Ovis aries: one gene and its partner. The main gene of each other region encodes a partner of the protein of the gene in region 2 in a complex. Links are inferred from orthologs where the notes say so. Each region holds a gene or a part of one and is shown on either strand. Other genes may lie near its edges.

Region 1 (4,509 bases), on a different chromosome or scaffold from region 2:
TTGGAGGAGAGGGTATATAGCTTTCAACAGCTTATTCTCCCTGCCCTAAGATTAAGAACCATTATTTTTAATGGTTTAATTTAATTTTGATATTAGTCTAAAAAGCCAGACATATTACAAGGGAAATCTGTTCCCTCCATCTCATTACCACAACTGCTGTTTTCCCCTCCTCTATCATACAATACCTTAAGCAACATTAGAAGATGTTTACATTTCCACATCATTGTTGCTCTCATACTTGAGAGGTGCCTGGAGGAAAATATACATAACACAGTGATGCATTGTGGATTTTATAATGGACTTGACTTCCCAGTCCCATAAGTGTTTTAATTGTCATTATTTAAAACCTCATGTGTTGCCTAAACTAACAGCCACTGAAAGTATAGTCAAGTATTATGGGTCTTCAAGAGGAGTCAAGTAGGAATTGAAATATAACTTTTAAAACAGAGCTGGGTTATCTAGCAGACAGATTAAACATTAACTTTTCATTAAATATGTCGGTCACTGGAAGATGTCCATCATTGTTTCAGTGATTAAGGTTTTCTTGCCTGCCCTTTTATATGTAATATTGATAATTCTACCTAAACCATTTCCTTCTCTGTCTCCTAGATTGCAAGAAAATCTTCAAAATGGATGTTAAGAGCTAACAGGCATGAGCTTAGGATGTGTGATACTGTTCTAAATGCTTATGTGTGTATCAATTCATTTAAAACTCAAAACAGTCCTAGGAAGTAGGGACACCTCTTATTCCCCCCTCCATTTTATAACTAAGAAAAGTGTAAGGTTTTTCTAACAGGAAGGAAAGGTGGACAGAAGTGGCACCAAGACAGTGTGTGAGCCTGCTTTCTGAATCATCTCCGAATGCAGCCCTGTCCCTAGAGCAATGAGCATGTTTTCTGGTGTAGGAGAAATTATTGAGAACAGAGCCTACTAAGCCCAAGGATACCCTTGCCACTTTCCTATCTGCGTACAGGTAGAAATCTCCACCATCCCTTTTAAATTGACCTCATCTGCTCGGAGCCAGCCCGTATACTGGGCACTAGTACCAGGCATTGTGCAAGCCTAGGAAACGCTCTCCCCCGACATCCGTTTTACATGTGTGTGGAGGGAGGGAGGCACAGCCTGGCGCGTGAGCCAGTTCTCCAGAAGGGACGTTTGAGCTAGAATTTCTGGCATAATCGAGCCAGCGCTCGAAAACCTGGTGCTGAGCGTTGGAGGGGGAGTGTATCCTCTCCAAGAAGGAAAGCCTCATGGTGGAATGGCTGATACCTATCCTGGGCGCTCGGGGCCAGGACAAGCTGGCTGTTTCTTCTGATTAAAAGAGGAAGCAATAACTTTGCCTATGACTCCAAACACACTGGTTCGAACTTGGCAGTTAGGAATCCTATGCAGTTGTCTCACGCCACTCAGGGTGTATACGCGAGGAATTTTCACTTGGCTGGAGTGAACTCGCTCGGAGCCGCGCGTGCGCCTCTGATGGGGGTGGGGGCGCGCTGCGCGCGGACGCGGGGCGGGGGGCGGGGAGGAGGTCCCAGGGCGCCCTCCTTTCGCGGTCCCGTCGCGCTACCGGAGCGGACAGCTTCCGGCCGGTGCCTCGGGTCGCGTGGGCGGCAGACCTGTGACCGAGGAGGCCCGGCGGGGGCTACTTCATAGACGTCTTGTTCGTTAGGAGCAAAGGGCGCCTCCTGGAAGAGCGCGTGGAGGGCGCTCCCCGGGTGGAAAGACTCCTCGGGAGGAGTCGAGGGGCCGAGTCTGGGGGCCGCTTCCGCCAGCCCCGTAGGAGGAAAGAGGAGGGGCGGGCTGCTCAGGAGCAGCCTGGGCGGGCCGCCCGCGCTCGACGCAGGCGGGAGGAAGGGAGGGAGCGAGGGGCGAGCTTTGGGGAGCAGCATGGAGACCTCGGCTGACTTGCTGGCCGCCGCCGCCGCGCGGGGCCGGGCTGACGAGGTACGGGCACTGCTCGAGGCTGGAGCGTTGGCCAACGCGCCGAACCGTTACGGTCGAAGCGCGATTCAGGTGGGTCAGCAGGTCTGCCGCGGAAAGGTGGGCGGCTGGGTGGGTGGGTGGATGGCGAGAGGCTTTGGAGGACGAGGTCCGCCAGTGAGTCGGAACCAGGTAAGCGTTTCTTGGTAAAGGGGAGACTTTTCAGACCGAGTTCGGGATCGGAGACCTCTCGGCGACTCTCAGGGGGCTCAGGACGGCCGCGGAGCTGGCTGAGAAGGCGCGTGGGGTTCAGATCTCTAAAACGGTGTGAAGATCTAGAAGGGAGAACCTACGTGTGTTAATATAGACCGATATGCGAAATTGACGAACGTCTGGAGTACGAGTATAAAGACAGTAAGACATGCTGGACCACTTACTCCCGAACTTATAAAATTGTGAATGGAGCTGATCGACTTCTTTGTTGGGGGGGGAGGGGCGGTGAGAGGGAGATTTCAGTGGAAATCTACTGCTGTGTAAGTTGGAATAAAGGTCGATTGAAATTATTCAGAAGCAACCATATATCGTGTTTATTATTTTTTTTTAACCGAGTAAGGAACATATATGCTTGTTTAGGAAATAGACATACATGAAAAAAAAAATTAGTGCAATTATGCCTGAAATAATGCTGCCAATTTAGTTACCACTTGAGTGTCTCTTACCTTTTGGGGTATTTTAAACTTACTTGGTATACATTAATTTCCTGGGAAGTTTTCAGTTCCTCATAGTTTAAAAAATGTCATTTCTCCTCTCCCCACTCCAGTTTTGTATGTGTGAGGATGAGTTGTGAGTTCGTTTTTCTGTGTGTGTGTGTGTGTGTGTGTGTGTGTGTGTTTTGCCTTCACTAACTTCCTAAATCTGGGGCTAAAAATAAATTCTTCCTGGCAGTCACTCCAGTTTTATTCCAGGTTTCGACAACGATTTCTGATTCTGAAAAATAATATTTATATGAAATGTACACTGCAAAAACTCCAGCATAACAAGACAAAGGAAAAGTAACTCAACCTGGAACTTAACAAGTGATTTCACAAGCGAATCGTCCTTTCCTCAAACTATGCTACATAGAACAGATATATTTTATATACTTTTAGATACAAAAATAAAAATAAAATATCCTCAAATCTGAGATTATTTGGGATTTGAAATGTGGAGAGATTTGGAGATTAAAAGGTTGAATGGTTGTAGAAGAGAAGCATGAGTTCTTTTTTTAAAAAATGCATGCATGATTCATAATTGGATATCTCTAAAGTTTTGCCAGCAGTTTGCAGACTGGGTGTTACAGCCTTCTAGTTCTGAAAGATGTTATATTAGACTTTATTGTTTAAATACAAAAAGAAAGATAATTAATTTTAAATTATTTTTAAATAGGATAAGGGCATCGACAAAAGGGATATGATTTTAGTTTTGAACCCTAACCAAATTTGTGTTTAAAAATACTTAGTTTATAGAAAAATTTTAATGACTAAATTAAATTTATATCTTCAGTTTGACTTAAGTACCCTAGAAATATTCATTTGAATGATTTTCTTTTTGCTTTGGATTGCTACTATGATTTAAATATTATGTTACTTTTCATACTTTAATACTGTAGCATATAATAATACCTTTAACCAATTTAATGACTAAGACCAAGGACTTCATTTATCCAACCCATGTAATATATTTTCACCTGCATTATATACAAGCATGGAAGGAGACATACATATATATATATGAGCTCTGGCACTTATAGTAGAGTTTCCAAAAGATTATGGTGTCCTTGGGTGTGGCCCCTTTGTTTTGGAAATTAATTCATAATCCATGAGAAATCCAATAGTGTAAATTTCCCCAGTTTTTATTTTAAAAAATTCTTTCTTCTAATGCACTGTTAGTTTTCCTTTTTGTAGCTGCAAGTTGGTTCACTTAAATTTTCTCTGTGGTTTTTTTTTTTTTTTTAATTAAATCAGTTTCACTTTCTCTAGGATAGAACTCAACAAGCATAGTATAACTTGTTAAGATTCCTTGGTTTGAACAAATTAATTCAAGTTTAATACAGAACTCAACTAAAAATAAATAATTCCTCAATATAGTGTAGCTAATGTAACCAAATAATGGTTACCCTAAAAAAGAATGTTCTATCACCTCCACCCAATGTATAACACTCAAATTGCAAAGTTGCTGTGATTGTGAACAATATTTCAAAATTCCTCTTTGGTAATGCTCTTGTATCATCAAAGATTATTTAGGAACCAAATGAAGTGAGCACCTCCTCTTTAATGAAGTCTGAGTGTGATCTTGGAAGGTGTCTTCCTATTTCTGCTATAACAAATTACCACAAATTTAGTATCAACATAAATTTATTATCTTATGGTTCTGTAAATCAGAATTCTAAAATGGGTCCACAAGGTTGCATTCCCTTTGGGAGTTCTAAGGAAGAATCCATTTCCTTGCCTCTCCCAACATTTAGTGACAGTCAACATTCCTTGGCTCTTGGCCCCTGCATTTTCTCTCTGACCTCTGCTTCCATTCTTATATCTTCTCTGACTGTGATCT
Region 2 (4,409 bases):
CAGAAGCGCAGTCCTCTGCAGACACCGAGGCGATTACATAGTCTGTCTCAGCCCGAGCGCGTCTCAGTCCACGGTCATTCCACCTAAAAGAGGAGACGGGAGGACAAGAAGAAAGTGTAATCAGACATCCCAGGCGCCTTCTCCGGGGTTCCTACAGGGACCCCTCCTCCTCCTTTACGCAGCCCCCATCGCTACCCTCTGCGAGCTCCTGCCCTCCCAGGCCGCTTCCTTCCTGGTTTCTCCGAGAAAAACGAAGTTACTTTTCTTTCCCTGCAGAGCTAGAGCCGTCTTCGCCCGGAGAGGTTGCAGGGGCCCCTCGGGGATGAGCGCGGGGCGCTGGACGCGGTGGAACGAGAGGGGGCGTGCCAAGCAGCCCAGAGTGTGCCGGGAGCGCGGGGGAGGGGAGGCGCCGGGCACGTCAATGTCACGGCTTAATATTTCCCTGTATCATTGTGTTGCGCTGCTCCGCTCCCTGCCTGCCGGGCCTGGACGTCAGGGGACAGGGGCTCCATGGGTGCCGTGGGGGCGTTCTGGGGTCGTGCGCAGCCTGGTGTGGACAGACCTCGGGTCCGCCTGAGTGCGGCCGCAGAATGTGGGTGGGGGCTCCCAGGACCTTTGTAACCCGATGCTGCGAGTGTGCGAGAAGGGGTGGTCAGACATCTGCTCGGAAATTGCTTCCTTTCTTTCTACTTTCAGTTTTTCTACGAGGAGACATTTAAAAACGACACACAAATGGTCTTTTTAAGGTAAAAGAGTCTGGGTTGGAAACGGAATCCTTCCTCTTACTTGGGAAGACCTCCCTGGTGGAAACCCATCAGATCCGAGAGGGCGGGAGCTCCCGCTACTCCGGAGTGGGTGAGCGATGCCTCCCCCCGCGGTGTGGCGGCGGGGGCGAGGGGGCGGGTGAAGTCGCCTACGGAACCCTAAGAATGGGATAAAGAGGTGCTCGCCGCACTTCAGCTTGTCGTCTCCTTGGAGAACAACTTCAGAAGCAAAGCGGCATAATCGTCACTTGCCTTGAATTTTTCAACCGATTGCAACCTGAGCAAAACTCAGCTTCCCCTTAAATAGGGTGAGGGGTGGGGGGAGTAAAGGCTGAGCCTCCAGGGGAAAGCGAAAAGGGGTTGCGCCCCCGGGGCCAGGACTCGAGAACCTTTCCCCACTCCCAGGGTTGTTCCCGAAGTAGGTAGCAGAGGTTGCTCCACTCCCCTTCCAGTTTAAGGTCGGATCCGAATAGCAGCCAGTGACCCCCGGAGCTCACCCCACACACACAACAAAGCGGCGAAGGGGGGGGGGGGTCGCACTCTTCTTTCCCATTCAAGCTGCAATCCAGGACCCAGGGGACCTCTGCTCCACCAACGCTGTGGCCTCCGCCGGACATTCGCCGCTCCGACTGCTTGTCCGAAATTCCCCGGAGCTCCTCGGAATTACCTGCCCCGCAACCTCTGGCTCGCTCGCCTTCCGCCAGGAATTAAAGATACAGACTGCGCGACCCTTGCGGTCTGCGGGCGGAGGGGACCGCGGAGAGCACCGGGCCCCTCACACTCTCTCCATTCAAAATTCTCCTTAAAAGGTGAAGGCCAGTCCTGGGTAAGGGGGCCGAGGAACGAGCCCCCTGAGCCAAGGAACCAGCGGTCGGAGCCAGGCCGAGGGCCACACAGGTAGCGGAGGAGCCGCGGCGAGCGGCGCCGCCCGCCCCCTCCCGCAGGCCCCCTCCCAGCCCCAGTCCTGCCCGCCGCCCGGCGGCGAAGGAAGCGGCGGGGACGTCCCACCCCCGCAGGGAGCTGCGCCCGCCGCCCCCGCCGGGCCCCGCACCGCCCGCCCCGGCTCTCCCCCCTCGCTCCCCGGACTGTCGGCTCCGGCGGAGAGAAACGGGAGCAGCCGTGCCTCCCCCCGTCCCCCGCCCCGTCCACTTTTTTTGTTGTTGTTGTTGCTTTCCCACGCTGGCTGAATGTGACTTGACCCCATTTCAAAAAAGTTTGACAGAGTGCTTCAACATTTCCGCATTCCTCCGCGACTACAAAGGCTGCAGCCGCCTCCTTCTGCTTTCTGTCTCTGCTCTCTGTCTTCACACTCAATGAAATCCTTCATGTGCCTCTCCCGAAGCCTGCCAAGCACCGCAAGGGTCGCCACCACCGCGGCGACCAGAGGCCGCCCCGGGGGACCACGACTCCCGCGTGTACACACACGCAGATGCGCCCACGTGCACACTGACGGGCGCGGGGCTCGGGCCAGGAGGTGTTCACCCCGGGGGCGTGCGTTTTAACGATATTTTAAATTAGGAAAGTAAACTAGGAAACTAAAGCAAGCGTCCATCCTTGCGGGGGGACTTCCAGCCTGGGCACTGGCCGCCGGCGTGTACTCCTCTCTTAAGTGCAGAACACGCCCGCGGGGGCTGCCAGCAAGAAGTCTGCGTTAACATTTATCTCGCGGTGGGGAAGGTGGAGCTCACACCCACACCTCGGCGAGATGGAGGGGGAGCTTTCGTGGGGAAATAAATACAAGGCACCGAAACACATTCTCTCCCGCGTGAGGTTCCCCAAAGCAGTGCATTTTAAACCCTGAATGTAAATTTCTCGGTGAGTTTCCCAGTGGAGCCTGAGTTCCGTTTGAAGGACTGGATAAGAAGTGTTTGTGTGGGTGTTTGTGCGCAAGGCTGTGTGCGAGCAGGCACAGGAGCTCGGCGTTGGGGGGAGTCCCTCGTGTGGGATGTTTCCCTCTAGTCAGATTAGGAGAAACTCCTGTAGCTCCCCCGAAACTGGCCCCTGTAACCACCCCTCCTCGGATCGTAAGGGGTTAACCAAAGCCGATTCCCAGAACCTACCGCCCCCCCTCCCCGCCCCAGTCACCCCCACCCACCCTAGCCGCCGACCCCGGGCCAAGCCCCCAAGTCTTCCCCAAGGACCACCCCCCCACCCTGCACCCTGCCGCCCACCCACCAGAGCGCACAGCGCCTCACCTGAGGGGCCCGGCCGCGGCGGGCCTCGCGAGGGGGCTGCGGGGACCGGTCGACCTTCGCACGTGTCCGCCGCGGCGCGGAGCAGGTAAACCGGCTCGAGGAAGGAGTTAGCGGCGCTCGCTCGGGCGAGGGGGTGGGCACTGCGGCGGAGGGCGGAGGGACGGCGGAGGGCGCCGCCCGCGCGGCGCGCTGGGGGCGGACGGAGGCCGCGGGGCTCCGGCCCGGGCTCGGGGCCCGAGCCGGGGAGGCGGCGGGGGCGGGGTGGGGGGCCCTGGAGGCCGGCGGCCCGCGACCCTCCCGGCGGCCGGGTGGGGGGCTCGCCGCTCAGTGGCCAGCGAGTGTGCAAATTAAAGCCTTCCGGAGAGAGGGGAGGCGGCCGAGCCCCGGCTGTGCTCTGAGCCTCCGGCTCCCCGGCTCTCCGCTCCGAGTGGGGGGCGAGAAAGAGGGGGGAGCTAAATGAAAATTTCCGGCTTTCGCTGCAACTGGAGTGGGGTGACTAAAATAGGAGGCGTGAGAGGGAGAGTGGGATGTGTGGTCGGCAGTCGGCTGAGTTACCAAACCGAGGGTCGCCCAGAGTTGGGGTTTTTGACAGAGTGAGGCAGGCGGGGGGTTTCAGCAGTCAGTGATGTAGACAGATGGGGAAAACACAAAACGACCGATAATAGTCATGAGGGGCCGGTGGGGATGGTAAATACTAACACTTTTCAAGAAACTGAAAAGTCAGATCAAAAAATAACTTTATTTAAAAAAATTGGCAGGACGCCTTGCAGAAAAGAAAATACTAATCTGTCCAAGCACTTTTCACTTTCAGCATGAGCTACATTTGTTTTGTTTTCCTTCGCTTCCTTTCGGCCTCACAAAGCCCTATCTTTTCCTTTTGGACGGAGGATATGATTTGGAAATTGTCTGGCACTCTTGTGGTTAACGATCTACTTGAAGGGGCTGGCCGGCTCACAGTTATTAAGTGATTAGTAACTGCCGAGGGTTCACTAAGGTATTTCTGTGGAGGTAAAAAGCCTAAAATTGACTTTAAGTAACAGAACAGCAAGATAATAGACACACGCACACACACACAAAGAAGAGAGAACACGATTCGATGGGTGCTTACTTTAAATGCATTACTGGACTTCTGAAATTTGAAACTTTGTAAGAATGTATACTTTACCTGCTGAGAAAACCTCAATATTTCAGGTGAAAATTAGATTTTGGAGGAAAAGAAAAGTCTTCTAGACTTTTACAATGAAGTAAAACAAAACTTAAAATGACTATTTTTTTGGAAAGAATTCAATATTATCCAAAATCTCTATCTGTAAAATACTTGAAACCCTTTGAAATATCTTAATGCAAACCCTAAAAAAAATGTTATTTATTTCAGGACTCTGTGTAAAAATTAAAACCCAGAAAAATTCTGTTTGAATGAAAAATACTACCACTATAAATCTGTTGACAT

The links.
Region 1: the proteins of CDK6 (region 2) and cyclin-dependent kinase inhibitor 2A are in contact, whole or in part, in a crystal structure (PDB 1BI7), measured with the Homo sapiens proteins. The link is inferred for Ovis aries from reciprocal best matches to the Homo sapiens genes CDK6 and CDKN2A. Residues at the interface, in NP_001138778.1 of Homo sapiens: Glu14, Cys15, Val16, Ala17, Glu18, Ile19, Phe28, Lys29, Arg31, Leu33, Asn35, Gly36, Gly37, Arg38, Phe39, Arg44, His100, Asp102, Gln103, Asp104, Thr106, Thr107, Asp110, Lys111, Gln149, Thr154, Ser155, Leu166, Ala167, Arg168; in NP_000068.1 of Homo sapiens: Thr18, Ala21, Arg22, Gly23, Arg24, Glu27, Asn42, Tyr44, Arg46, Gln50, Val51, Met52, Met53, Met54, Gly55, Ser56, Arg58, Asp74, Ala76, Thr77, Thr79, Asp84, Arg87, Glu88, Gly89, Phe90, Asp92, Asp108, Trp110, His123.

What each region holds. Positions count from the first base shown.
Region 1 is NC_056055.1:90,755,750-90,760,258, reverse strand, and holds the start of cyclin-dependent kinase inhibitor 2A, read left to right. Parts: upstream 1-1,558; 5' UTR 1,559-1,887; coding exon 1,888-2,013; intron 2,014-4,509. UniProt on the Homo sapiens protein: Acts as a negative regulator of the proliferation of normal cells by interacting strongly with CDK4 and CDK6. This inhibits their ability to interact with cyclins D and to phosphorylate the retinoblastoma protein.
Region 2 is NC_056057.1:10,942,443-10,946,851, forward strand, and holds the start of CDK6 (cyclin-dependent kinase 6), read right to left. Parts: upstream 3,102-4,409; 5' UTR 2,960-3,101; intron 353-2,959; exon of another isoform or gene 196-352; intron 84-195; 5' UTR 1-83. UniProt on the Homo sapiens protein: Serine/threonine-protein kinase involved in the control of the cell cycle and differentiation; promotes G1/S transition. Phosphorylates pRB/RB1 and NPM1.